Sus scrofa: one gene and its partners. The protein of the gene in region 1 interacts with the protein of each later gene in a pairwise test. Links are inferred from orthologs where the notes say so. Each region holds a gene or a part of one and is shown in the gene's direction. Other genes may lie near its edges.

Region 1 (2,634 bases):
CCATATTATTAGGTGGTAGATCTGGGATGCAGACTCCTGTGTACCTAACTCCATAGGCTCTTTCTGCTCACCGTTCTGCGTCTCACCCCCAGGCCTAGACGACTTCCACCTGTCCATCCACAGTGACATGGCTGCCATCGTAAAAGCCATGGCCTCCCCTGAATCTGGGCTGGAAGTCCGTGACCGCATGTGGCTCAAGATTACCATCCCCAACGCTTTCATTGGTGAGGGGGCCCCATGGTGGGAGTGGTGGGCAGGGCAAGAACCCCCTTGGGCCGCTCCTTTGCACTGGAACCAGCACCTGCCTCATGGCTTCTGTGAGGCCAAATGAGCCCAAGTCAAGAGGGCCTCCCAGTCAAGTGGTGGCCTTGCCCCCAGGCTCGGATGTGGTGGACTGGCTGTACCACAACGTGGAAGGCTTTACTGACCGGCGAGAGGCCCGCAAGTATGCCAGCAACCTGCTGAAAGCTGGCTTCATCCGCCACACTGTCAACAAGATCACCTTCTCCGAGCAGTGCTACTACATCTTCGGCGACCTCTGTGGCAGTATGTTGCCTCCCCCGCTCCTTGCCCTATCTCCTGGTTGGGAGTGGGGAGTTGCCCAGGGATGTGGCAGCAGACTCTAGGGAACCCAGTTGAGGGGGCAGCAGAGCTGGGGGAACCTCTCAACCTGAGAGTTCTATGGTAGAAGCAGAGCCCTGTCCAGCCTCTTCAACTGCCCTGCATCCTCCTCTTGGGGCTGGCATTTTCTCAGTGCCTGCTCCGTGCCCCACACTGCGCTCACTATTTCTAAAGCATCATCTCTCCCTCAGTCAGTCCTCACAACCTCCCCACATGGATTACTATCTCTGTTTCAAGATGAGGAAACTGATGAGACTTACAGAAGCTAAGTAGTCCACCCACCCCAGGTTTCGCAGCTAGAAGCAAAGGAGCTAGGCCTTGAGTTGACTTTCTGGCTCCAGAGCTTTTATTCTTCCTATGGTCTGAGGTTGTCCTAGGTGTGTGGTGCTGCAGAAGCATTTTCTTGGGTAATCCTCACAGCACCAAAAGGTTCCACCAAGGCAGGACCTGGAGCTGGCCTGAGGCCCCAAGTCCACAGCCTCCTCAGACCCCTGAGGGTGGGCTCTGCCTTGGGCTAAAGCTGGGAAAGCTGTCAGGGCCAGGTTGTAAGGGACTCTGCAAACTGTACCGAGGAGTTTGGACTTGATCTTGAGCGATTGCAAAGCCAATGAGGGTTATTAAATGGGAGAGGTCTGCAGGGAACTCCCCTTATCCTGAGCCTATGGACTGCCCTTGGGAAGGAGAGTCCTCAAAACAGGACAGCAGTGCGCAGGATTGGGAGCTGAAACCCAGCCCCAGCAACCATCTCCGCCTGAAGCAACCTTCTCTCAGCCCACTGGTGCTGGCTGGAATCCAAAAGCTAACTCTTTTGTTTTGTTTTGTTTTTTGTTTTGGCCATGCCTGCAGCATGCAGAAGTTCCAAGGCCAGAGAGCACACCCATACCACAGCAGTGACAAAGCCTGATCCTTAACCCACTAGGCCATCAGGGAACTCCCAGAAGCTAACTCTTAAAATATTTCAGATTAGGTTCTAGAAACGAGAAAGGTTGTTTCTGAGGAGCACAAGTCCCTGGCTGAGGATGGGGTCCCTGGCCCTCAGCAGCTTCAGCATGGCCCCATGGAGTAGTGATAGATGCATAGGATTTTGGCATTAGACAGTTCTGAGTTCAAATTTTAGCTCCACCCTCGCCGTATGAACATGGTAAGTGACACAGGCTCTCAGTGCATCAATTTCTTGGTCTGTAAGATGGAGACAACAGTAAGACCTATCTCATAGGTCTGTTTTGAGGATGATATAGGATAATGTATGTAATGCTTTTAGCACCATGTTTGGCCCACAATAAGTGCTCTTTAAAAAGTTGTCCACTTGGTTAATGAATCCAACTAGGAACCATGGGGTTGCGGGTTCCATCCCTGGCCTCACTCAGTGGGTTAAGGATCTGGCGTTGCCGTGAGCTGTGGTGTAGGTTGCAGATGTGGCTTGGATCTGGTGTTGCTGTGGCTGTAGCGCAGGCCGGCAGCTACAGCTCCGATTCGATCCCTAGCCTGGGAACCTCCTTATGCCGTGGGTGTGGCCCTAAAAAGCAAAAAAAAAAAAAAAAAATTGTCCACTTACCATGTATTTAATTGATTATAAGTTGAACATTTTTTCACATTTCAATATCTCTGAAATAGCGGTGCATCTTGCAATTATTGGCTTCTTAAATTTGATCAGACATGGCCAGTAGAAGTCTTCCCTGTCCCCAAACCTTCAGGGGTACATAAAGCTTCTCAGGACAGCTGTGGCTTTTGCTCAGAAGGCACTGTTCCATACCAGGGGCATTCTGGGTCTTCTGCCCATGGACCAAGTCCACCAGAGGCCATGCTCAGGGAGATGCAGACAGAACAGGCCTTTTTGTTCTCACTGGCTGAAGTATCCTCAGCTGGGAGTATGGCAGACTCAAAGGGAAGAGCTGGAGACCTGGGTAGCCCCAGGAACACACAGTCACTCCCCTTGGGATGACAGCTTGACAGCTGAAGTAGTGACCAAGGCAGGCCTCTGCTTCTGATCATCACCACTGCTCACGCTAGCTG
Region 2 (4,007 bases), on another chromosome or scaffold:
CCCCCATCTGGGAGAATCTCGGGGGCCACTTGTCTTCTCTGTTTCTCTCCCCCCCATGCTCCTGCACCCCCCTTTCTAACTGTATTCCTGCCTCAGTTTCCCTCCCCATTTCTCCCTTTCCTGCTGTCTCTGTCACTCTCTTGCTGTGTGGGCTAGGCGGTAGCAGACCGGGTCTGAACTGACCCCCACGGCATGGGGTGGTGCTCTGGGACCAGCACCCTCCTCCCCCCAACACGAGGACTCTGATGGACTCTGCCCCTTTCACAGTGCAGGGCACCAGGTGCTAGGGCTAGATTCCAGAGCTAGGAGGGCATTCCAGGTGGTGGGCAGCCAGGCCAAAGGCGTGGAGGTGACAATGAGTGGGACTTCCGGCTGGTCCTGGCAGCTGAGAGCCAGGGTCAGACCCACCCGAACTGGCCACCTTGGAGCTCCCCAATGGCCTGAAGCCATGGCCTTAGTTTTGCCAGCTGTGAATTGGGACCTTCATCACTGAGGTAACTGGCAGTTGACCTGACCCAGATCTGCATGCATCACCACCTCCTCTATTCCGGGGGGCCTGCCTGGAGGAGGGCAGCCCTGCCTGTAAACAGGCCTCTGTTACTTCCTGAGCAGGGGGGAGAGGTGAATGCCCTGGGGTGCTACAGCCAGGGCCAGGGTAGTTTAGCCCAGTGGTTGGGGAGCTCAGACTTTGGAATGAGACAAACCTGGGTCTGCTCTGCCATTTTCACGATGGTACCTTGAACAAGTGATTCGAACCTCCCAGCCTCAGTTTCCTGTCGGAGGGACATAACTCCCGAGGGGTAAGGGCAGCTTCCAGGATTAACTGCAGGAATGTGGACCTGCATGTCTCCTCCTGGCCCCCACCTCCTCCAGCTTTCCCCCTCACCCCACTCTGCTCCAGCCATACCAGCCTCCACATTCCACCAATACACCAGGCACAGTCCTGCCTCAGGGCCTTTGCGTGGGCTGTTTCCTCTATCGCCATGCCAGGTGCACAGGCGCCAACTTTAAAACACAACAGGTTGTCTACATGGGCCGGGCCAAGGGACTGGCAAGGCTAGGGCTGGGCATCTGGGAGGGGCCGAGGAAGGGCAGGCCCAGGGACGCTGTACCTATGGAAACCAGAACAAAGAGCTGTCACCCCAGCCATACAAACACCTGGGCTGAGCTTCTCTTGGCAGCCTTGGTGGCCTGGGACGCCGGTTGTGGGTGAGTGCCCAGACCACTGCAGGGGCAGGTTGGGGGCCCAAACCCCACTTGGATGGGAGGTAGGTGGTCCCTAAGCAAAGAGACCAGTCAAGTAGGTACAGACTGGAGGCCCCACAGTTTCCTCTCCCACTGTGTGGCCTTGGGCAGGTCAGGTGAGGCCTGGGCAGGTGAGGGACCTTTTGGATGCTTGGTGATCCAATGTGGTAGGTTCAGGAGGACTCAGTGTCCCCTGACTGTTAACTTGGGCCACAAGAGGGTACGTAGGACAAAACTCGAGCTATTGTCATGGAAACAGCCCCAGAGGCAGATGTTGCATAATTGACTCATGCTGGTGCAGGTTCAGCCCCAGGTACTAAGGGCTGAGAGGTGGGGATGTAGAAACGGGCAGGACTGGGCCCAGTATCAGAGAACTTGGGCTTTTACCCCAGAATCTCCCCTACCCACCCCTCCATGAGACCACTTTCCCTAGAATCCTGCCACCTGAGCTTTCACAGCGGCACCTCTGGCTGAGTCCTTGGGATCTTCTGAGGCTCCATCCTCAGTTTCCCCTTCTGTCCAATGGGGTAGTGGAGTTTGGGGAATGTCTACCTGGGGGGAGGGGGGCTTCCAGAACTGTTTGTGCTGTGCTGCTATGTGATCTTGCGATATCTGTCTCTCTCTGGGCCTCAGTTTCCCTGGCTGGACATTGGAACCCTTGGAGAAGATCTCTGACTCTGTGCCCCTCTGGTGCTGGGAGGTTGAAGGAATCTATTCATTCAACAAACAGGTTCTGAGCACTACTGTGTGCCAAGCATGGTGCAGGACCCTGCAATGACCAAGGTTAATCTGGTGTCTCTCCTCACCCCAACTCAGCTCACAGACGGGAGTTGGGAGAGATAGACATTCATCCAGAAAAGCCATTAGGCTTAATTGTAATTGTATGAAAAAAATGGAGACAGACGGATAGGGAATTTAGTTAAGATGGGGGATCTGGAAGAGCCTTTTAAGGAGGTGACATCTGAACTGAAGCTCACAGACTAGAAAAAAACAGCCGTGTGGAGACTTTGGGGGAAAAGCAATCCAGGCAATGGGGACAGCTCATGCAAAGGCCCTGGGCAGCACCATGCCTGGTGTGTTGGAAGAACAGCCAGGAGGCCACATGGCTGGAGCAGAGCGAGCAAGGGGGAGAGAGGGAGGAGGTGGGGGCTGGTAGTGTCCAGGGGCAGGCAGTGCAGGGCCTGTGGGCCACTGGGAGGTCTTGGGCTTCTACCTGGAGGAAGTTGGGATGCCTGGAGGGCTGTGGGCAGAGGTCCAGGGCCTGACTTAGGTGCTCACTGGTACCCTCTGGTGGCTGCTCCAGAGAAGACAGACTGTAGGGGGTGAGGGCAAGAGCCAGGTGACAGGCATGGAGGCTAAGCAAGAGGTGAGAAGTGGGTGAAGCCCAGACTCATTTAGGGGCTGCATCCACATTCCTGCTGAGTGACCCAAGCCTCCTCTACCTTTTGTTAAAAATCTTTTGCTCAGCCTAGTCCCAGCCTGTCTTTCTCTGCAGTGGGTTGGGCCATGGTTTCCAAATATTCATTTTTGCCTACACCCACTATCCCAGCTCCCACTGCAGCCTGGCAGGCAGCCAGACCGTGCTTGGGATGGCCCCCAAGGGCTCTGGGGACCCAGGTTTGAGGACTGCTGGTATCCACCCCCCACCTCAGACACGCAGGTCCTCCCCCCTCCCCTTTGGCCATATCAAACTGAGCACCGACTGGGAGACTTGAGTGAGGTTTGATAAAGAGCCCGAAGCAGCGGGTGCCCTGATGTTGGCAGAGGGTACAGTGCAGGGGACAAGGGCCGTGGGGGCATCTCCCACAGTGGGCCACCCTGGGGTGGGCTGAGAGAGGAGAGGAGGGCCGGCTTGGTCTTGCTGAATGGGCCCATCAATTATTGACACCCTTCACTGGGGCATGAAGAATTCATGCGGAGGCTGGGCTGCTCCATGGACCAGAGACATGCCAGAGCCAGCTCACCCCCTGGCTCACGAGAGCCACTTGCTATGTTGTCAGGAATTTTGTGATCCGCTTTTGTTAACATCACCATTATTTCAAATGATAGATTATCAATACAAGTAGAAGAAAAAAATCCATTTTTTTTAAATGACAGGCTAAATTTACAAATACATTATATTTAAAACAAAGGTATGGACTATCATTCAGCTATAAAAGGAGTGACTAGCACTTGCTACAACATGGATGAATCTTGAAAACATGATGCTCAGTGGGAGAAGTCAGACACAATCACACAGTGTGTGATGCTTTTTATATGAAAAATAGGCAAATCCATAGAGGCAGAAAGTAGATTAGCTGTTGCCAAGGGGCTGGGGTTGAGGGATGGGGAAGGACTGCTAATGTGGATGGGATTTCTTTTGGGGGTGATGGAATATTCTAGAATTAAACAGTGGTGATGGTTACCCAGCTCTGTGAATATATAAAAACCACTGAATTGTACACTTTGGAAGGGTGAATTTTATCATAAGTGACTTACATACTTCAACACATTATAAAAAAGCCTAGGACATAAATCATCAAAAATCCCAACTTCTGGTTTATTTTACTGCTTTTTGCGATGCTCTTGAGGTTATTTTTTTGATGGAAATGGTGAGCAGTTCTTCCCAACTCCATGTTCAAGCTGGAAGCTTGAAATTGGCTGTGGTGGGAGAATTTACACCATGGAAATTGGCAAATGCCACAGATCAGGGCTTGATATATTGCTCTGTTGATCATCTAATCCAGAGGTTGGCCAGCCTTTTTCTATAATGGGCCAGATAG
Region 3 (3,500 bases), on another chromosome or scaffold:
CTCTGGAGAACCCCTTGGGGCTGCGCCCCCACCTGCCCCTGCTGATGGGTGGGCAGGCAGCGCTGAAGCCAGAGCCCGGGCGCCCAGGCGAGGAGTCGCCTGCCCCCAAGCAGGAACTGCACCAGCCCTCGTTCCCTGCACCTCAGCTGTCCCCCCTACCAATGCCTGGTAACCCCGCTGACTACAGTGGCCTGTATGGTCGGCCTGAGCTCATTGCACTAGGCAACTTCTACCTGTACTGCAGCCAAGACGGGCTGCAGTGTGGGGGCTACTCCTCCTGCCCCATGCTCCCTGAAGGCAAGCTGTCCCCAGTGGCTGCACCTAACGAGGGGCTTCTCTTGGCCCCGAGCTCAGTGCCTGCTGGCACCCCTTTCCAGCATCCTCCATGGGGTTCTCGCTACTGCTCCAGTGAGGACGCTGGAGTGAATGGCTACAGCATCTGTGAAATGTTGTCCCCGTCTCTTTCCCACATCGGCACTGCCTGTGGTGGCTGCCCCTACAAAATGCCTTTTGCAGCAGGTACGCCTTCCTGGGGGTGGGATGTGCTAGGGAGTCTGAGACATGATATCCCAGAAGGGTGGGTCTTGGGTTGGGGTGGGACTCCATGGGGTATACCTACTGCATGAAAGGGTAGGAGGTTTTGAGAAGGGAGATTTCCCTAGTTTTGTGCCCCGAGCCTAGGAAGTTCCCAGGACAGAGGTCTATGTTTAGCTCCTAGCAGCCCTGCTCTGTCACCACTGTCCTTGGAGGCCTCTTGGCATGGCAGCATGATGGTAGAATGGTCAGGGAGGGTCTCTCCTCCCTCCCCATTGGAATACCTGTTCTTAGACTCTGAGTAGCAAGTTCAATGTTGAAAGCAGCACTTTGGCCAAGTTGTTCCCATGTCCCTCCTGCCCTCCTCAAGAAGAATTAGAATTCCTTTCCAGGAGCCCAGGTCATCTGCATGTCAGTCAAGTTCAGCATGCACAAGAGGGGTGGTAGGTACCAGGCCTGGTAGGTGGTGCCAGCTGCAGTAGGACAGCTTCTCCTTGGCCATACAGGCCTTAAAAGAGCAGTTACGCCCAGATTTAGCATCACCTTGCTAGGTGCGGACAGGATGGGCACCCTCAGAGAACAGACAGGCTGCAGTCAGGGCCTGTGGCTTTGGTGTCTACCTTCTTGGCAAGATCCAACTACCTCAGTGTCATGCTGCAGCTGATGAGACACCCCTAATTCATCTCTCTTCCCCCAAACTGGCAGGAGTGTCCTTTCATACCTCTCCAGGTGCCCTTCTTGGCTCCTGAATGGAAATGAGGGGACCAGAGCCATCCTGGCCAGTAGGTCTGCCCTGCTGTTGGTGAAGTGCAGGGCCAGGCCTTCCCAGTGCTCTCCCCTCCCCTCCACGCCTCTTCTTGAAGGGGTCTATAAAACAGCTTTATAGACACCTGACTCTGGCCAGACTGGTTGTTTCAGGTTCTGGTGTGAGTTGGAGCTCTAAGCAGTGAGAGTAGGCTTCTTCTTGGGCTTTTCTTCCTCTTTCCTACCACTCACTAACTCTATAGACTTCTAACCCATGGGACCCAAGACCCTTATCCCTGTGCCCCGGGACACCAGTAAGCACCATGTGCCAAGCGCCTGTTCTTAGTGCTTTATATATATATGGGAGGCCATATGGCATGTAATTGAGCACAGACTCTGGAGCCAGACTGCCTGGGGTGAAATGTTCTCCCCACTTCCTTGGCCACGTGACTGTGGAATAAGCTGGTAACTACTCTGTGTCTCAGTTTCCTGAATTGTAAAATGGAGGTAATAGTACCTACTGCATAGAGTTGTTGTAAGGATGAGATCATATATTGATAAAAGAAACATCCAGGACACACTCTGTGAAACTCACTTTATGATATTCATTCTATTGCAAGGCACTGAGAGGTAAAGTGACTTGCCTAAGGTCACACAGCTGGTTAATGGCAGATCTGGGACTCACATCCTGGGCTAACTCCAGATCCTCTGCTCCAAAGTACTGGAAACCTTGGAGAAGGAAGATTAAGCCAGGGCTAGAGATGCTGTTCCCGATACCTCCCCTTCTTTTGGGTGGCGTTGATGTCTGTGGGCCAGTTTCCAAGGTCAAGAAAAACCCTTGGCCAGTCACTGACAATCCACCTTAAGGGCCTCTGACCCCACCTGCCACCTCAGTGGCTTCTTGGGTTCACGCTTAGAATTAAGATGGAAGCAGGCTCTGAAGCCGAGAGCCCGGGAAGGTCACTGCTGATCCTTACCTGCCCTGATCTCCTCTCTCCTTTTCCAGAAGGCTGCAGGTCCCTGGGCCAGCTGGAATTTCCTCTCCCGGAAGCTGGCCACCCTGCCTCACCTGCCCACCCCCTCCTTGGATGCCCTGTGCCCAGCGTACCACCTGCAGCAGAGCCTGTCCCCCATCTTCAGACACCCACCTCGGAGCCCCAGAGCATAGCCCGAGCTTGTCCCCAGAGCGCCAAGCCTCCTAGTGGCTCCAAGTCTGGTCTGCGCACGGGCTCCAGCTGTAGGCACACAGCGCGGAGCAAGGCTGCCCGCAGACCCAGCCACCCCAAGCAGCCGCGTGTCCAGCGTCCACGCCCACGCCGCCGTCGCCGTCGCCGCACTAACGGCTGGGTGCCCGTTGGGGCTGCCTGTGAGAAGGCCGTCTATGTCTTGGTGAGTGCCGTTCTTGACTGAAGGGGAGAAGGGAAGGGTGCTGGAAGAGACATAGGACCTGCAGGGAGGTAGAGGACTCCAGAGAGGATGGGGGCTCCAGCTCATTTGTATCCCAGGAACCCCTCACCCTGGGCTAGCCTGCTCCCCCATACCCTTGTGATCCTGCGCCCTGCACCTTGGGGAGTCAGGGAATGTACAGTCAGTCACAGCTGGTGGCTGCCGTCTCTGTCACTGATGCTCAGGGAAGCTTCCTAAAGTGTCTTCATCTCTTGTCCCTGTTCATGCCATCCCTTTTGTCCTGGATTATAAAGCAGAGGGCTTTCAGGATAATATATAAAGGAATAGGCAGAAATTGGGATAGCAGAGAAAATGACTGATACAGGAGTATCTGGATGAGGAAAAGAATGTCGACTAAAATTTACTGAGCACTTCTTAGGTGCCAGAACTAAGCTAAGCACTTTGCATGCGTTATCTGCTTTCATCCTCACCACTGCCCTGTGAGGTCCATACCCCATGGTCCTGTAACTACCTTCATGTCACGGATGAGGAAACAGGCTTAGCAGTAGGTGAAGTCATTTGCCTAAGGTAGTGCCACTTCCAACAGCGGTTTCAGAGTCTCATCCAGACTGTTCATTAGGAAACTTGAGGACCTACCCAGTGCTGGGGGCTTGGAACGAGAGAACCAGCTGTCGGGAGTATGGTGGTTAGAGTGCCGCCCCAAAAGCTTCAGTCCACTTTCTTACCCCTGTTCCTATTTCTATCCTTTCTCCATCCCCATCCTCCCCTTGAAAGCCAGGCTCAGGGAGGAGGAGCCAGAGTGCAGACTGCTTTTG
Region 4 (3,500 bases), on another chromosome or scaffold:
GGGAAGACAGACAATAAAGACCCAAGATCAGCAGAGTTTAAGTCCATCCAGAGACTGAGGAGAATGGAGACCAACAGGAGGAAGGGTGGGGATTTGCCCCTTAGGAGGTGACCTTGGACAGTGTGGCTGGGGGGAAGAGTGGGGCACCGGAGCCAGCTGAGGAAGAGCAGACCAACAGTGAGTGGGAGGTGAGGGAAATGCAAGGACCTGAACCCTGTGCAGCCCCAACAGGCTGTATGTACAGACAGTCGAGGCACCTGTGCCCCAGAGCTGGTGGGCTGGGCATCTTGTTCCTCTGCTCAGGTGCCTTTGGTGTCACTTCTTTGCCTTAATCCTGAGCTCATAATTTGGTGGGAAAGAGTTATCTCCCCTTGTACCCCACTCCCGCCCTGTGCTTTTCTGTATATGTACAAAGTGACGCATGTCACCGGCAGATTGCTGAGGCCTGTATTTGATTGCTCTCCCCGCCCCCCACCCACCACCTGGTTCTGACCCTGGGACAGTGCCTCCCCTGGGCCATTTCTCAGTGCTTGTCCCATCCGGTGGTTCTCAGAGAAGGCAAAGTGTGGGACAAGCCATATCCCGAGAAGATCCTCTGCTGGCACAGGCATTGGCTCCTGTGACATTTTTACTTAGGATAAAGCCATGGCTGTGTGTCCATTATGCTGAGAGGAGGTGAGATGCAGCAAAGTGTGTGGACTTTGGAATCAGACAGACCTGGATGCAAGTCCTCTTGCGTCTGCCCTCACTCGTGGTCCAGCCTCATCTGTAGAATGGGGATAATAGCGCTCACCTTACAGGCTGTTGTAAGGAGAATACAAAATGATGTGTGTACGTGTATGTGTACACACATACATAATAAGGCCAGATATGTATGTGCGATACCTAGTACAAGGCTTGGCATTATTAGGCATTTAATAAATGCTAATTGTCTTTATCCAAAATGAAGCTTGAAAGGAACTTCTGAGGCCTCCTTAGATGAAGATGCCTCAATTTTTTGGCAAGCGTGTTAAAAATTTCAAAGCCATGCCTCAACTGGAATCTTCTGTATAATGGATATTATGCTCTGAGTAAGCCTTTAAGGCAAAGAAGCAAATACCATGTGCGCTGATGCCAGTGATTTATTTAAAGATGCCGAGCCCGTCCAGAAGACCTATACAGAGACACTAAGGCTGCAGTCGCAGCTCTGCCACCACCTGGCAATCTACCAACAGTATCCAAGGTGATGGGCCCAAGGCCCTCACCTTCCAGTGAAGCTCAGTTCCCTCCTTAAACAGCAAAGGGGAAACATTTACAGTCTGGTGTCAGACGTTGAACCAAATATTGCCCCCTCCCCATTAAAGATGACTTGCCCAGACATTTCAGATAACTACGCTCATTCCTGCGCTCCCATTCCCCAAATCGTCTGACTCAAGAGCAATTTTATAATTTTCGTGATATTTTAATCCGTAAGGCCCCAGAGACACTGCCCGTGCGACGAGCCCGAGCCGTTAGCTTAAGGAAAGAGCTAGAGGGGATCTGGAGTGGGTGCCTTGTGGTGATTTAACTCTGGCCTTTGATAACTTGTGCCCCATCTCTGCACCGCAAGTGTCTCTGACTGGCCATTGTGTCAACAGGTGAAAAGCCCTTCAGCTGTCGGTGGCCCAGTTGTCAGAAAAAGTTTGCCCGGTCAGACGAATTAGTCCGTCATCACAACATGCACCAGAGAAACATGAGCAAACTCCAGCTGGCGCTCTGAGGGCTCCACCCCGGGCACCGCTCCGTGTCCAGGCAGGACGGTGTGTGAACGACTTTGCAAGCTGACTTTAACATTCCTCCTGGCTCGCCTCTCAAAGAAGGAAACGGCGGCCGACCTTCATCCAGCGTCCGAGACAAGATGCCTGAACCACTGGATCCTACCAGGTTTGCCTGGAGGAGTTGGTCCCTCTGCTTGGCCACCTCTGAGCCCTGGAGAAGTGGCTCTCAGTGTCCAGTTAGTTAAAAGCCCGTCGCCATGTGGTCTGGATCCTCCACTGTAAGAAGAGCCGTGGTTGATACTGTTCCTCCCCCATCCCCCCGCCCCCACCCCGTCTCCCTTTACGCTCATTTTCACAAGGAATGGAGTCATTGTACCATTTTCCATCATAGAATATTTATAGGCCAGGGCATGTGGATGTGTCTGCTAATGTAAACTTTGTCATGGTTTCCATTTACTAACAGCAACAGCAAGAAATAAATCAGAGGGCAAGGCACTGGGGGTGAGTCCCGTCCGACATTCCGGAGGTTAGGCAGGCTGCTAACCTGAAGGCAGGATGTAGCGCCACCAGGCAGCTTTGAAAACGCCAGCATTTCAAGCAGCTGAAAAAAAGAATCAGCACTAACCAGTACCTCTGCACAGATCTCTAAAGGAATCTTCCCATTCAGTGTAACTCAGTGTTAACAGGAGCACAGTGCTCTTAAGAAACTGTGCTTGAAGATCTGAGATTTTGTTTGGGGGTTTCTTCTTGACTTTTCGGAGTTGTAATCATAGGCATCTTCAGAGATGCACATATCTCCTCACACAAAGGAAGTGGAATCCATTTTCATCATCTGGGGGGTGTCCTTAGAATGTACAGACCACGCTGGTTATGGGGCTTCGAGTTGTTAAAAATTAAGGTGACTCTAAAAGGAAATAAGGGCTGGTCCAGGATCTCCCACTGATAAGACTGTTCCTAATAACTTAAGTAACTTTGGGTCTACAAGTATATGTGGAAAAAAAAAAAATGAGACTTGCTAGTGTGAGGAAATCCATTGTTTAAAGGTGGTTGGGTATATGTGTGGTTTTTTGGGTTTTTCTGTTTGTTTTTTAAGGGAGGGAGTTTATTATTTACTGTTGCTTGAAATGATTGTGTAAATATATCTATCTGATAATGATTTGCTCCTTGACAACTAAAATTAGGAAATGTATAAATGTTAGATGCATCACTGTTTTGGTGTTGATCTTCCAACATATTGATGATAACACTAAAAATGTAACCTGCATTTTTCACTTCGCTCTCAATTAAAGTCTATTCAAAAGGAAAGTGGTAAGATTCTATCAGCTGTATTGTGTTTAAATCTTGAGGACAGATGAGCTCTGCTAAGCAGGTGAGATGCTGACAGTGACATCAGTGACCACTAGTTAAGTCTGTCCAGGTCCTGACCACTATTTGTTTCTCTCCGTTGAACCTCAGGAGGCAATTACTGGTCCTAGAAGCAGCCAGAGAGCACGGCTTTCACCTCTCATCATAGAGCGATGGCTCTCATGCTGTGATTGCATAAGGGCAGGGGTGGGGAATTCTGTTTCCATGGTCATTTATATCTGGCTATCATTGCATCACTTCCTGTTCCAAGTCAGCAGAGGAGACCAGAGAAATACAAGAAATAACTGGTCTTTTTGGAAAGGTTCACAGATAGGCACTGCAGTCAGAAGGGGATAAGCTGAACACCTAGCACAACCTAATTCGCAACTGTAGTTGCTATAAATTAGTTCAGCAGGTTGA
Region 5 (3,500 bases), on another chromosome or scaffold:
GTCGGTTGCTCCGGCCGCGCCAGCGTGTGACCTTGTAGGTCCCCGTCCCCGTCGGTTGTTATCCCGAGGTGCCCGGGCGGCTGGTAGTGTCTGTTGGCGGGTGCTGGCCTCCTGAAGGGCTGCGTCCCCCCCCGGGAGCTCCGCGTTGTCGTCTCGCTCGTCTCGAGACTTGAGTCCTCCCCACCACCTACCCCTCCGTTCTCTTCCTCGCCCGTCGCCTCGGCCGCCCTCCCGCTGGACGCCTGGCTCCCAGGAGTCAGCTGGGTGCTGCCAGGGCCCCGACGCAGGGCCGGCCCAGAGTCCGGGTGCAACAGCGCTCCCAGCCCGACGCCGGCGCAGCCGTGGCCGCGGGTCCTCGTGAGACACGGCTCCCGAGGAGAGGCCCTCGCGGAGTGTGGGGCCGCGTCCTGAGGCCTCACGCTGCCCTGTCTCCCTCTCCTCCAGCGAACACCTCTCCTCGGCCCGTGTCCGGCATGGAAAGAGAGCGGAAAGTGAGTATGCGGCTGCACCGCGGGGCCCCCGTCAACATCTCCTCGTCCGACCTCACGGGCCGGCAAGATACCTCCCGCATGTCCACCTCACAGGTACGCGCCCGGCCGCCACCGGGCCCTGCGCTCCGCAGCCGCGTTGCGCGCCGGTCCTGCGGCCCCCGCAGTGGGCGACGGCCTCGGAGGCTTCCTGCTTTCCATCCTTCTCGCTCTCCCTCTTCGGAGCGTCTGAACTGCCGGGGACCTCGTGTCCCTCGCTACCGTGGGGCCCTCGGTTGAGGGCCCCAGGGACGAGCTCTGGGGCCAGGCTGCGCCCTGGCTGTGCTGGGACGCCCGCTGGCGCCTCTTCTCTTGCGCCGTCTTCCCTGGGCGGACGCCCCCAGCCTGTGGGCGCCTGGTGTTGCAGCGCGCCTGGCCCAGCCTTCGAGCCTCTGTCCTCGCTCTTGTCAGCCGGGCGCTCCACCCCCGCGGAGAGCCCTTGTCGCCCGCCGGCAGTCACTGTAGGGCGTCCTAGGCGCCCGGCGCCATGTCTTCTCTAGCCACGCCCTGTGCCCACTCGCTCTGCTCGCTGTCCCTGCCCAGCAGCGCCACTCCTCGCCTGCGTGCTGGCAGGTCTTCTGCGCGTGGGTGGCAGGAGGCGGGCAGGGTGAAGAATGGTCCAGGTGGGCCTCTTCTCTGCTTCAGCCAGTGTCCCGTGGGGCCGGGGTCACCCCATGCTGTCTGCTGGGGGTAGCTTGTCGGTGAATTTGGCGGGTTGAGCGTGTTGATCTGGAGGCACAGGGCCTGTGCGAAGTGCCCAGAGCCTGGTTCTGCAGCGCCGGCTGGCCAGGCAAAGGGCGGGTGTGCCCAGCAGAGGAGGTGCCCCGACCACGTTTTCTTAACTGCGTGAAGTAAACAGGGCACCTGTCGCTTGCTGGCACTTCTACTGGAAACGGGCTGCTGTTCGCCCATTAAGCTTCTCTCTGGCTGGAGACGCAGCTGGTCGGAATCATGGGGCACAGAGGCTCTGGTCAGGGGTTCGAGATCGGCCCCATGCGGCTCCCGGCCCCCAGCCATCCTGCCTCCCTCGGGACACAGAAAGGGCCTCCGGGTGTGTTCCCACGAGCCCTGGAATGCACGCCTCAGTGGCCTGGCACGGGCCCAGAGCGCCTCGGCTGGGACGAAGGAGGGCAGGCCTCGCTTTGGCTTTAACACAAGGAAGGATCAGGAAGCGCCAGGGGTTCAGGGGCGCCAGCGCCTCGGGTCTGCGACCACCTCTGCCGCCGGCTCCTTGGGCTTTGCTGCCCAGTCTCCCCGTGAGGGCCTGCCTCTGCTCTCTGTTCTCTCTCTGCTTTCCTACCAAGACGTGTGCCGTGGCTCTGAGGATGGGGCGCCTCCACTTTGTCCCTCTTCCCCCCGGGGTCTCCTTAGGACCTCTGCGTTGAGGGCACAGCCCCAGTCCCCTCCATCCAGGACGGCTCTATCCCTTGGCACTCTTGCTGGCAGGCGCCGTTCCTGGCCGCCAAGGGCCTCCATGATCAGGGCTGTTCCAGGCTCGGTCTGGCTTCTTCCCCCAGAGATGCGAGCGGAGCAGGGGTGGTGACACAGGGGTGCAGGGTCGCAGTGGGCTGGGGTGGCCACTTCCCTAGCCGCCTCTGCCCCTTAGGGAGGAGGCCTGCTGATCTCAGCTGGGGGCGGGGGGACGTTGGCCTGTGTCCCTGGTCGTGGCTGGAGTGCCGCGGAGACGGCGGAGGGCTGCTGGCGGACGAGCCTGGCGGTGGCGTTTCTCTGAGAAGTGCCCCCTCCGTCCAGTGCTGTCGAGGGACACGATCCCGGCTCCTGGTGCCAGGGACTGACTTGTGCGAATCCCTGCCTCCCCTGCCCCCCCGAGGCCCGGAGCCCGGTCTTCTTCCCCGCGTCCAGCCCTCGCGCGCCTGGGCCTCGGGGAGCCGTGGGTGTGAGAGCCGATGGAGGGGCCGCCGTCGAGGGTCCCGTCCTCTTACAGCCTGAGCCCTGGGGGCGGGCTCCGTGTCGGCAGGTCCAGGGACCACTCTTGAGAGGCCGCTCCGCGGGGAGAGGCCCGGCCGGGGGCCTGGTTCGCGCAGGCAGCGCTGGTGCAGGAGGAAGGAGGAGGGGCCTCCGTGCTGGTCCCGCCGCGAACCCTCCCCAACAGCTGTCTTTTCCCCCCACCTCAGAATAGCATTCCTTTCGAACACCACGGCAAGTAGCTGCACGGCTCCCGTCGGAAGGCAGCGCTGGGTGAGTGTGCGCAGGCCGGGTGGGGGGCTTGCATGCCAGGAGCCGCCAGCGGGCGAGGCCCCTGGCCCAGGTCTTCTCCTCAGGCGGATTCCGGGGCAGCTGTCCGCTGGCCCTTGGCACCGGCGTGGGGCGCGGGAGCCCGGTGGTGGCTCCCGTGGCCCCGAAGGCTGGTGTGGACGTGCGTCCCGTCGTGCTGGCAGAGGGCCGCAGGGGGAGGGGGGCCCCTGCGCTCTCGCTGCGGGAGACACTCCTGGTCTCGGCTGTCCCGGCTTTGTCATCTCTCTTCCTTAGCGTTGACCTCTGTCGTCCTCGTTTGCTTTTCTTTGCGAGCTCGGTCTCTGCCCAGCACCTCGTCCACGCGCTCGTTTGCATTAACCCATCAGCCACAGCCGCCTGCTCCCTGCCGTCGGTGCATGGCTGGGCGTCCACGCTGCTCCTCTCGGCAGCGACTCTTGTGGCTCCTCCTGGCTCTGTCTGCTGGGCGCTGCTCTCTGGGGGCGTCTCGGTGGGGAGTGCTCGTAGGTCTTGCCCACCGGAGCCCCAGGGCCACCGGGGCCTGGGTCCTGTGTTCAGAGCAGCAGGCTCCTTTCCAGGAAGCGGCTGGGAGCAAGCGTCCCTTCTCCGCTCGGGCCCTGGTCTGATGACCGGCTCTCGGCCCCACGCCGCCGGGCTTCCTCGCCTGCATGGCTCTCCTTCCCTCCCCGTCTTCTGTCACTTTCTCTGCTGCACGTGTCCTGGCCTTAGAGGGACCTTCCGGAGCGGCTGGGGGTGCGC
Region 6 (3,500 bases), on another chromosome or scaffold:
AGCCCCATGTCAGCCTCAGAGCCTGAGGCAGGGGGTTGGCAGGGACAGCACCCTCCTCTATCAGGTGGGGAGCAGGACGCCGAGGCATTCCAGCAGGGTGCTGTTTAATTCAACAGCCAGACGTGCTTCCCATCTCTGAAGTTTCCTAGTTCCTGCTGCTCAGAAGCTTGCTGGTACTGGGATCCCCGGTCATGGTGCTTCTGGGGGCAGGAGAGGCAGCAGAGTGTGTGCTCCGAGCTGGGTTCATTTTTGAAGGATGACCACATTTAAGGACAAAGTGGATCCAAGGCCTGGCCCAAACATGGAATGGCGAGTGGACGTCTCCTTGGTCAGCAGCAGGTCCTGGGCCAGTCCCAAGTACCAAGTGAGTTTCGGGAGAGGCAAGAAAACTGCCAAGGCAGAGGGACTCACAAAGAATGACTGAGCTGAGGGCTAGCAGCAGATCTGCAGGGAGAGGGGATCCTGATGGCTGGAGTGCATCTTGTAAGGGACACTGACCAAGCCAGGCAGTGCAGGGACTCAAAGGGACCAGTGACCGAGAAGGGTGAGCTGGAGAATGTGGTGAGCCCCAGAAGGCCTGGTGATCTGGAGGCTGCAGCCACGGGGCAGAGGTAGGGCAGGTGAGGCCAAAGCAAGAGGGGGAGGACCTGGACCCGAGTCTGATCAGAGCTGAGAAGGCATATTGAAGGGGCCGAATTCTACTGAAGAACCAATATTGCTATCATTGCCTTACAGACCCTGGGACTCCCAGCATGGAGGCCAGACCCTCGGGTCTTAAAGACACGGTGCTCTGCCTCGGAGAGCCTTCCCCTGGGCCCCCACGGGTGCTGCGTGCCCCTCACCTGCTCTCTTGTCTGCTTCTTTGCAGGAAAGTGTGGATCTGGGGGAGATCATGTTCTCCCTCTGCTACCTGCCCACAGCAGGCAGGCTCACCCTCACGGTGATCAAGTGTCGGAACCTCAAGGCGATGGACATCACGGGCTACTCAGGTACCTTTCCTCCCCGAGGGCCTGCCCCGTGGCCTCTCGGCAACCCAGATGTTTAGATTTGGAGAGATGCTGAGAGAGAAGGGGGAAGAATCGTCAGTACTCTTAGATAGGAGCACAGCCCTGGAGGCAAACGGCCTGGCTGTGAAGGCCAGTTCTGCCACTTTGCTGTGGGATGCTTTGGTTTCCTGACCAAAAAAAAAGAAAAAAAAAAATGAAAAAGAACCACGAAAAAGAAAAAAAAAAAAAAAAAGAAAAAAATTTATGCAGGTTGCTTTAAGGATAAACATGTAAATGCTTAGAAATGTGTCAGACACATAATGAGCACTCAGTAGGTATCAGCTATTACTATCATTCTTTCTCTTTGATGATGGAGAGAAGAAGTAAATAAATAGAAAAAAATAAGGAAAAATCTTTCTAGTTTGTGTGAGGTCTCGGGACTGCCAAGGGTTATGTCAAGTTTGAGTGTCCAAGTGTCTGTAGGTCCACGCAGCCCTGCGGCAGCCCTGCAGACTGAGTCAAAGGAACAGAGCCAATGACAAGCAAAGCGCATTTGTATTTGAGGTTTTCCTGCAGGGCCCTGGGCCTCCGTGTCAGCACCAGGAGAGCTGCTGGGTACAGCAGGAGTAAGCAAGTCCTGTTCTAGCAACCGAGGAGGTGCTTGTTTAAATGCAGCTCGGAGCCTGCAGGCTGGATGTGGTGTCACAGGCTTAATCCTTTTGCACGATGCTGCAGGTCGTTGTCAGAGAAGGTTTCTGAGTTCTGATGTAACAGAGGAGTCCCTGGCGCCTCCATCCCTGTGTCAGCTCACATTAGCCCAGGAAGTGAAATGGGCTGGAGTGCCTCAAAGAGCAGGCACGTACGCCGGGCTGCACTCAGAGCAGCAAATGCAGGGAAAGGCTGGGTTTATTTTCTTTGACCCCTACCCAAGGGGCTCTTTTGAAGATTCCAATCACCAATGTAAATCCACTCCAGAGGTGCCTCTGAACTTGGCGGAGAGTATATGGAAGATTTTTCCTTTGAATCATTCATTATTTCCTGGAAAACTCCTTAGTATAATCAGAGTGGCCAGGAAGCGGGGACGGTCCAGCTGGAAAACATCTGGGCCCAGGCCCAACCTGGCGCAGCTGGAAGGAGATGAGACATGAGGCCTTGAAAAATGAGGTTTCGGGGAAGGGTAGTCAAGAAACGCTGAAGGAAGGTGTGTTTGCTGCGGCTCTGAGTCCCTCAGAGCCTCTGCTCCCAGCCCCCACCGCGTCTCTGCAACACTCAGGTCTTTCAGGCCAAAAGCTGCCCCAGACAGTGCCTGCCCTGGCACGTCTCCTTCCACTGAAGCTGCCACCACACACCAGGTCGTGGCGAGGAGCTCAAACCACCTCTCCTGACACTGTGCAAACCTCTGAGGCAGCAGGAAGCAGGGCCTCCTCTAAATATACAGCCAATGTAGATTTCATTTTAATATCAAAATAAGTATGTGCAGGGATGGAAATTCACTGAGGACTCTCAAGACTGCTGAAGGAAATAGGATTTTGCTGCCCCAGTCCCCACACTATCTTCTCTGGTGTAATTAAATTGATGGGCTAGAGAGAAAGCTTACGGCAAAGCCACCAAGGTAATCTTAAAGGCTGTTCCACGTCAGAGGGTTGGGGGGCAAGAGATTTTTCTCCTGCGAAGTTCTAACCTCCCTCTCAAGATCGCCCCTCTTTTCTACCTGACTTTGGAATCTGGTATTCAATCTCGGCTGCATTCTGAAAATCCCGGGGTCCTGTTTTTGTCAGGGCTGTCTATCTATTTTGTTCACTGATAGAAGCAAACGTATGAAACAGTGCATGGAACATAATAAGCACTGGATAAATATGTACTGAATGATGAATAAATGATGAATGAATGAACGAACAAACTTACAGCGTAAGGAACCTTGTCAGAGGGTGATGCTGTGGGGACGCACATGCCAGGGGCCTCTCACACCAGATCTCCTGTTTCAGAGGATAAGGCTGAGGTTGCCTTCAGCTCAGACCGCTTTGATGTTAGACTAAACGAAGGAGCGCATGGAGCTCATTAATTGCCTGTTCTTGATGTATATGACACTGACCTCTAAAACCCAGCATCTTCCTATTCTCCTTGATCCAGTCCAGTCATGAATCAATTCTCTAAGCCTATCCACTAAAACTATGGCAATAAAAATAATACAAAATAATAATAAGGATGAGTACGCCCCAAAGGGGTGGTAAGTCGGTAAGCCTGCCCATCTCTGCCACCCCTGGTCTATACTGCTCTCTGTCCAGGGATTACAAATGTAAACTTTGGAGTCAGGCCTAACTTCAAATCTTAGGCAGGTTTCTTAATCTCTCAAACTTCCATTCCCCTATCTATAAAAGAGAGATGATGATAAATATAGAGTTGATGTGATGTTTAAATGACATGGTATGTGTGGAGTTTCTGCTGTCACACGAGGAGACTGGCAGCGTCTCTGTATCGCAAGCACACAGAGTCGACCCCCAGCCCAGCACAGTG
Region 7 (3,500 bases), on another chromosome or scaffold:
GGCCAGGCTTTGCTTATGATTTTTATTAAGTGACAACTGTCTTGAAAGAGAATTCACATACCATACAATTCACTCGTTTAATGTGTACAATGCAGTGTTTTTTTGGTGTTTTGTTTTTCTTTTTTTGTCTTTTTGCTATTTCTTTGGCCGCTCCTGCGGCATATAGAGGTTCCCAGGCTAGGGGTCCAATCGGAGCTGTAGCCACTAGCCTACGCCAGAGCCACAGCAACGCGGGATCTGAGCCGCGAACCCACAGCACAGCTCATGGCAACGCCGGATCCTTAACCCACTGAGCAGGGATCGAACCCACAACCTCATGGTTCCTAGTTGGATTCGTTAACCACTGAGCCATGACGGAAACTCCTGCAGTGGTTTTCAGTATAAGAAACCCCCTGCCCATAAGCAGTCACTCCCTGTTTCCACTCAGTCCCCCTCAGCCCTACTGTCTCTGTAAGGTTGCCTTTTCTGAGCATGTCATGTAACTGGAATTGTACAATATGTGATTTAATCATGTTTCGCCCCCCCTTCCAGAATGAGGATTTACTCTTTGGATCCCTCGCTTCTCCAGTAGGCATGTCCCCTTTGGAAAGACCGCTTTTAAAAAGGCTGCTCTAGACTGACTCAGCAGTCTATAAACATCTTGCTTTGCTCTGTGCCTATAAAGAACCCAGAGTCAGCCACCGTAAGATGAGACCGGAGGACTTGGCTAGGGAAACCCTGGGGTCATTGTAAAGGGTGGGGATGTACCAGCCCTTAGCCAGCGGCCATACTGGTTAGCATATACTTTGCAAGCGGCCGTATTTTGTATCTGTGGGACTCCTGACACCTTGGATTCCAAATTCTCATCGCCTGCTCATCTGTTCGCTCTTGATTTTAGGAAAAGAATTCATTCCTCAACTACAATGTATCCTGTATCCTTACCATGCCTCAGTACATGAGACAGGGCTATGGCAAGATGCTCATTGATTTCAGTAAGTGAAACAGCCAGGTCCTAAGTTCCACAAGCAGGGGCCTTGTGAATATGGTTGTTTGCCTGTTTGTCCTGTGCTCTTTACAGTTCCTGCCATGTAGTGGAATTACACTGGTATTAAGTGAATGAGTAAGTAGAGAAATCTGAATGTTGTTCTTAGTTTGGCCTGATAGACATGGAACACTTGAATGAATATGGGACCCTGCGTTGGTCCCTAATGGTGGGAGGAGATAGAGGATAGAAAAGAAATCCCAATTGAGACGTAGGAATAGCACACACCTTCATAAGGCTTCAAATTTGATGTTAGGGATTTCAGTTTTGTTAAGACTTGTCTAGAGGCAGTCCATACACGTGGTAGAGGCTTTGAGTCTCATTAATGATGGATTCTGTATTTGGAAATTTAACTCTCTGAAATTGATTTGTAACCCACAAATCAACACACATGACACCCAGCAGCAAAAAAAAGTTAATTCTCAGATGAGGTCAAAGTGTCATGTTTTGGCTCTCTGTTTAAGCAAGTGTCCTCTTCACAGTCTCTTGGTGCCACGTTCATATTTTTGTGCTTTTTGTGGGCTGATTTTATTTTATTTTTTGGCCCCTCTGCAGCATGTGGAGTTCCTAGGCCAGGGATCAGATGATGCTTGGGATGGCAGTTGCAATCTAGGCGGCAGCTGCAGCAACGCTGGATCCTTAACCCACTGTGCTAGGCCTGGGATCAAACCTGTGTCCCATCGCTCCAGATGCATCATTGATCCTGCTGGGCCGCAGCAAGAACTCTCCTTGTTGCTGATTTTTTTTTTCTTTTTACGGCTGCCCCTGTGGCATATGGAAGTTCCGAGGCTAGGGGTCAAATCAGAGTTGCAGCTGCAGGCCTCTGCCACACCCACAGCAACTCTGGATCCGAGCTGCCTCTTTGACCTGCACCCCAACTCATCGCAATGCCAGATCCTTTAACCCACTGAGTAAGGCCAGGGATGGAACCCACATCCTCATGGATACTAGTTGGGTTCATTACCATTGAGCCATAATGGGAACTACGCTAGTTGGGTTCTTAACCTGCTGAAATACAGCAGGAATTCCTGTTCTTTTTTTTTTTTTTTAAAAAGAGTTCCCTGATGTCCTAGGGGTTAAACATCCAGTATTGTTTCTGCCGTGGCTCTGCTCACTGATACGGCACACATTCAGTCTCTCATTTGGGAACTTTTGCCTGCCACGAGTGTGGCCAAAAAGGCTTGCAGGGTTTTTTCTTTTGTTTGTCCGCTTTCAGATCTGTTTGTTTTTAACTCAAATCCAGATAGAACTGATATTGGGATTGATAGATGTATCTTATGAATCACCTTTAATATAAAAGTTCCTATTCCATCTTTTTTTTTCTCTACTATTTATTTAAGAAAGCAGATTAATTATCTGCTGGTTTCCTAGAGTATGAGTTTTGCTGACTGCATCCCCCAGATGTTGATAATTACATGTTTGGACGTTAAAACTAGAGACTTTGTGAGATTCAGGTTGTGTCTGTCCCCTACCCCCTGCCAGTATTTCATAGGCAGTGCTGAGATAATCCATTCTTCAAGTTCAAAAGTTTGAAAGATTAAAAGCTGTGTAGTGAATCGGCTTCCCATCTCTTCCCACCTGTTCTGAACACTTACTTTCAAATAACTGTTGGTAAGTTTCTAGTGAAGCCTTCCAGAGTTGTTTTTAATGTCTATTAAGTAAGTGTGCATGTGTTCTGTTCCCCTTTTGTTGATATGAAGGCAGCCCGCTCTACAGCAGCCACGTAGGATCGCATTAAATGACTGAACCCTAATTGATATTGCAAAGCAGACTCTACACCTTAAATCTTTTGCCATGTTGGTACGTTGTTAACAGGATGAGATACAGTGTCTGTATTGTTCCGTGGCAGGTTATTTGCTTTCCAAAGTGGAAGAAAAAGTTGGTTCCCCAGAACGTCCGCTTTCAGATCTGGGGCTCATAAGCTATCGCAGTTACTGGAAAGAAGTGCTTCTTCGTTACCTGCATAATTTCCAAGGCAAAGAGATTTCTATCAAAGGTTGGTTTTTTTTTAATTTTTTAATTTTTTTGTCTTTTTGCCTTTTCTAGGGCCGCTCCCGCGGCATATGGAAGTTCCCGGGCTAGGAGTTGAATCAACACTGTAGCCACCGGCCTACACCAGAGCCACAGCAACGTGGGATCCGAGCCACGTCTGCGACCTACACCACAGCTCACAGCAACACCGGATCCTTAACCCACCGAGTGAGGCCAGGGATCAAATCCTCAACCTCATGGTTCCTAGTCAGATTCGTTAACCATTGGGCCACAATGGGAACTCCTCAAAGGCTGGTTTTTGATTCTTCGAGAATGATTGTTACCCAAGATGTTAGCTCCACTGAATATTCTGGCTTTTCTCCTTGGCCCTGTTCATGCTTTGTAACCTGCAAAGGTCATGTCCCATTCTGTGTTCCATCTAGATGTGCGAGTGGAAGGCCGGCCGAATATGGGCTCCTCCCTAAAGGTGCCTAAGGATTCCAGAGCA

What was found.
Region 2: the proteins of DVL3 (region 1) and TNFAIP8L1 interact in binary tests that used the Homo sapiens proteins (3 or more experiments, as listed by UniProt). The two-hybrid records come from large-scale screens. The link is inferred for Sus scrofa from reciprocal best matches to the Homo sapiens genes DVL3 and TNFAIP8L1.
Region 3: the proteins of DVL3 (region 1) and BAHD1 interact in binary tests that used the Homo sapiens proteins (3 or more experiments, as listed by UniProt). The two-hybrid records come from large-scale screens. The link is inferred for Sus scrofa from reciprocal best matches to the Homo sapiens genes DVL3 and BAHD1.
Region 4: the proteins of DVL3 (region 1) and WT1 interact in binary tests that used the Homo sapiens proteins (3 or more experiments, as listed by UniProt). The link is inferred for Sus scrofa from reciprocal best matches to the Homo sapiens genes DVL3 and WT1.
Region 5: the proteins of DVL3 (region 1) and CSNK1D interact in binary tests that used the Homo sapiens proteins (3 or more experiments, as listed by UniProt). The two-hybrid records come from large-scale screens. The link is inferred for Sus scrofa from reciprocal best matches to the Homo sapiens genes DVL3 and CSNK1D.
Region 6: the proteins of DVL3 (region 1) and SYT6 interact in binary tests that used the Homo sapiens proteins (3 or more experiments, as listed by UniProt). The two-hybrid records come from large-scale screens. The link is inferred for Sus scrofa from reciprocal best matches to the Homo sapiens genes DVL3 and SYT6.
Region 7: the proteins of DVL3 (region 1) and KAT7 interact in a two-hybrid assay, tested with the Homo sapiens proteins (2 studies listed by BioGRID and IntAct). The two-hybrid records come from large-scale screens. The link is inferred for Sus scrofa from reciprocal best matches to the Homo sapiens genes DVL3 and KAT7.

Annotation. Positions count from the first base shown.
Region 1 is NC_010455.5:122,085,851-122,088,484, forward strand, and holds part of DVL3 (segment polarity protein dishevelled homolog DVL-3), read left to right. Parts: intron 1-92; coding exon 93-224; intron 225-378; coding exon 379-546; intron 547-2,634. UniProt on the Homo sapiens protein: Involved in the signal transduction pathway mediated by multiple Wnt genes.
Region 2 is NC_010444.4:74,216,604-74,220,610, reverse strand, and holds the start of TNFAIP8L1 (tumor necrosis factor alpha-induced protein 8-like protein 1), read left to right. Parts: upstream 1-1,207; 5' UTR 1,208-1,261; coding exon 1,262-1,268; intron 1,269-4,007. UniProt on the Homo sapiens protein: Acts as a negative regulator of mTOR activity.
Region 3 is NC_010443.5:130,854,236-130,857,735, reverse strand, and holds part of BAHD1 (bromo adjacent homology domain-containing 1 protein), read left to right. Parts: coding exon 1-519; intron 520-2,284; coding exon 2,285-2,667; intron 2,668-3,500.
Region 4 is NC_010444.4:28,452,967-28,456,466, forward strand, and holds the end of WT1 (Wilms tumor protein homolog), read left to right. Parts: intron 1-1,616; coding exon 1,617-1,738; 3' UTR 1,739-3,041; downstream 3,042-3,500. UniProt on the Homo sapiens protein: Transcription factor that plays an important role in cellular development and cell survival. Recognizes and binds to the DNA sequence 5'-GCG(T/G)GGGCG-3'. Regulates the expression of numerous target genes, including EPO.
Region 5 is NC_010454.4:789,359-792,858, forward strand, and holds part of CSNK1D (casein kinase I), read left to right. Parts: intron 1-444; coding exon 445-584; exon of another isoform or gene 585-2,662; coding exon of another isoform or gene 2,663-2,695; exon of another isoform or gene 2,696-2,726; intron 2,727-3,500. UniProt on the Homo sapiens protein: Essential serine/threonine-protein kinase that regulates diverse cellular growth and survival processes including Wnt signaling, DNA repair and circadian rhythms. It can phosphorylate a large number of proteins.
Region 6 is NC_010446.5:106,471,317-106,474,816, forward strand, and holds part of SYT6 (synaptotagmin-6), read left to right. Parts: intron 1-868; coding exon 869-989; intron 990-3,500.
Region 7 is NC_010454.4:25,998,657-26,002,156, forward strand, and holds part of KAT7 (histone acetyltransferase KAT7), read left to right. Parts: intron 1-877; coding exon 878-971; intron 972-2,870; coding exon 2,871-3,017; intron 3,018-3,500. UniProt on the Homo sapiens protein: Catalytic subunit of histone acetyltransferase HBO1 complexes, which specifically mediate acetylation of histone H3 at 'Lys-14' (H3K14ac), thereby regulating various processes, such as gene transcription, protein ubiquitination, immune regulation, stem cell pluripotent and self-renewal maintenance and embryonic development.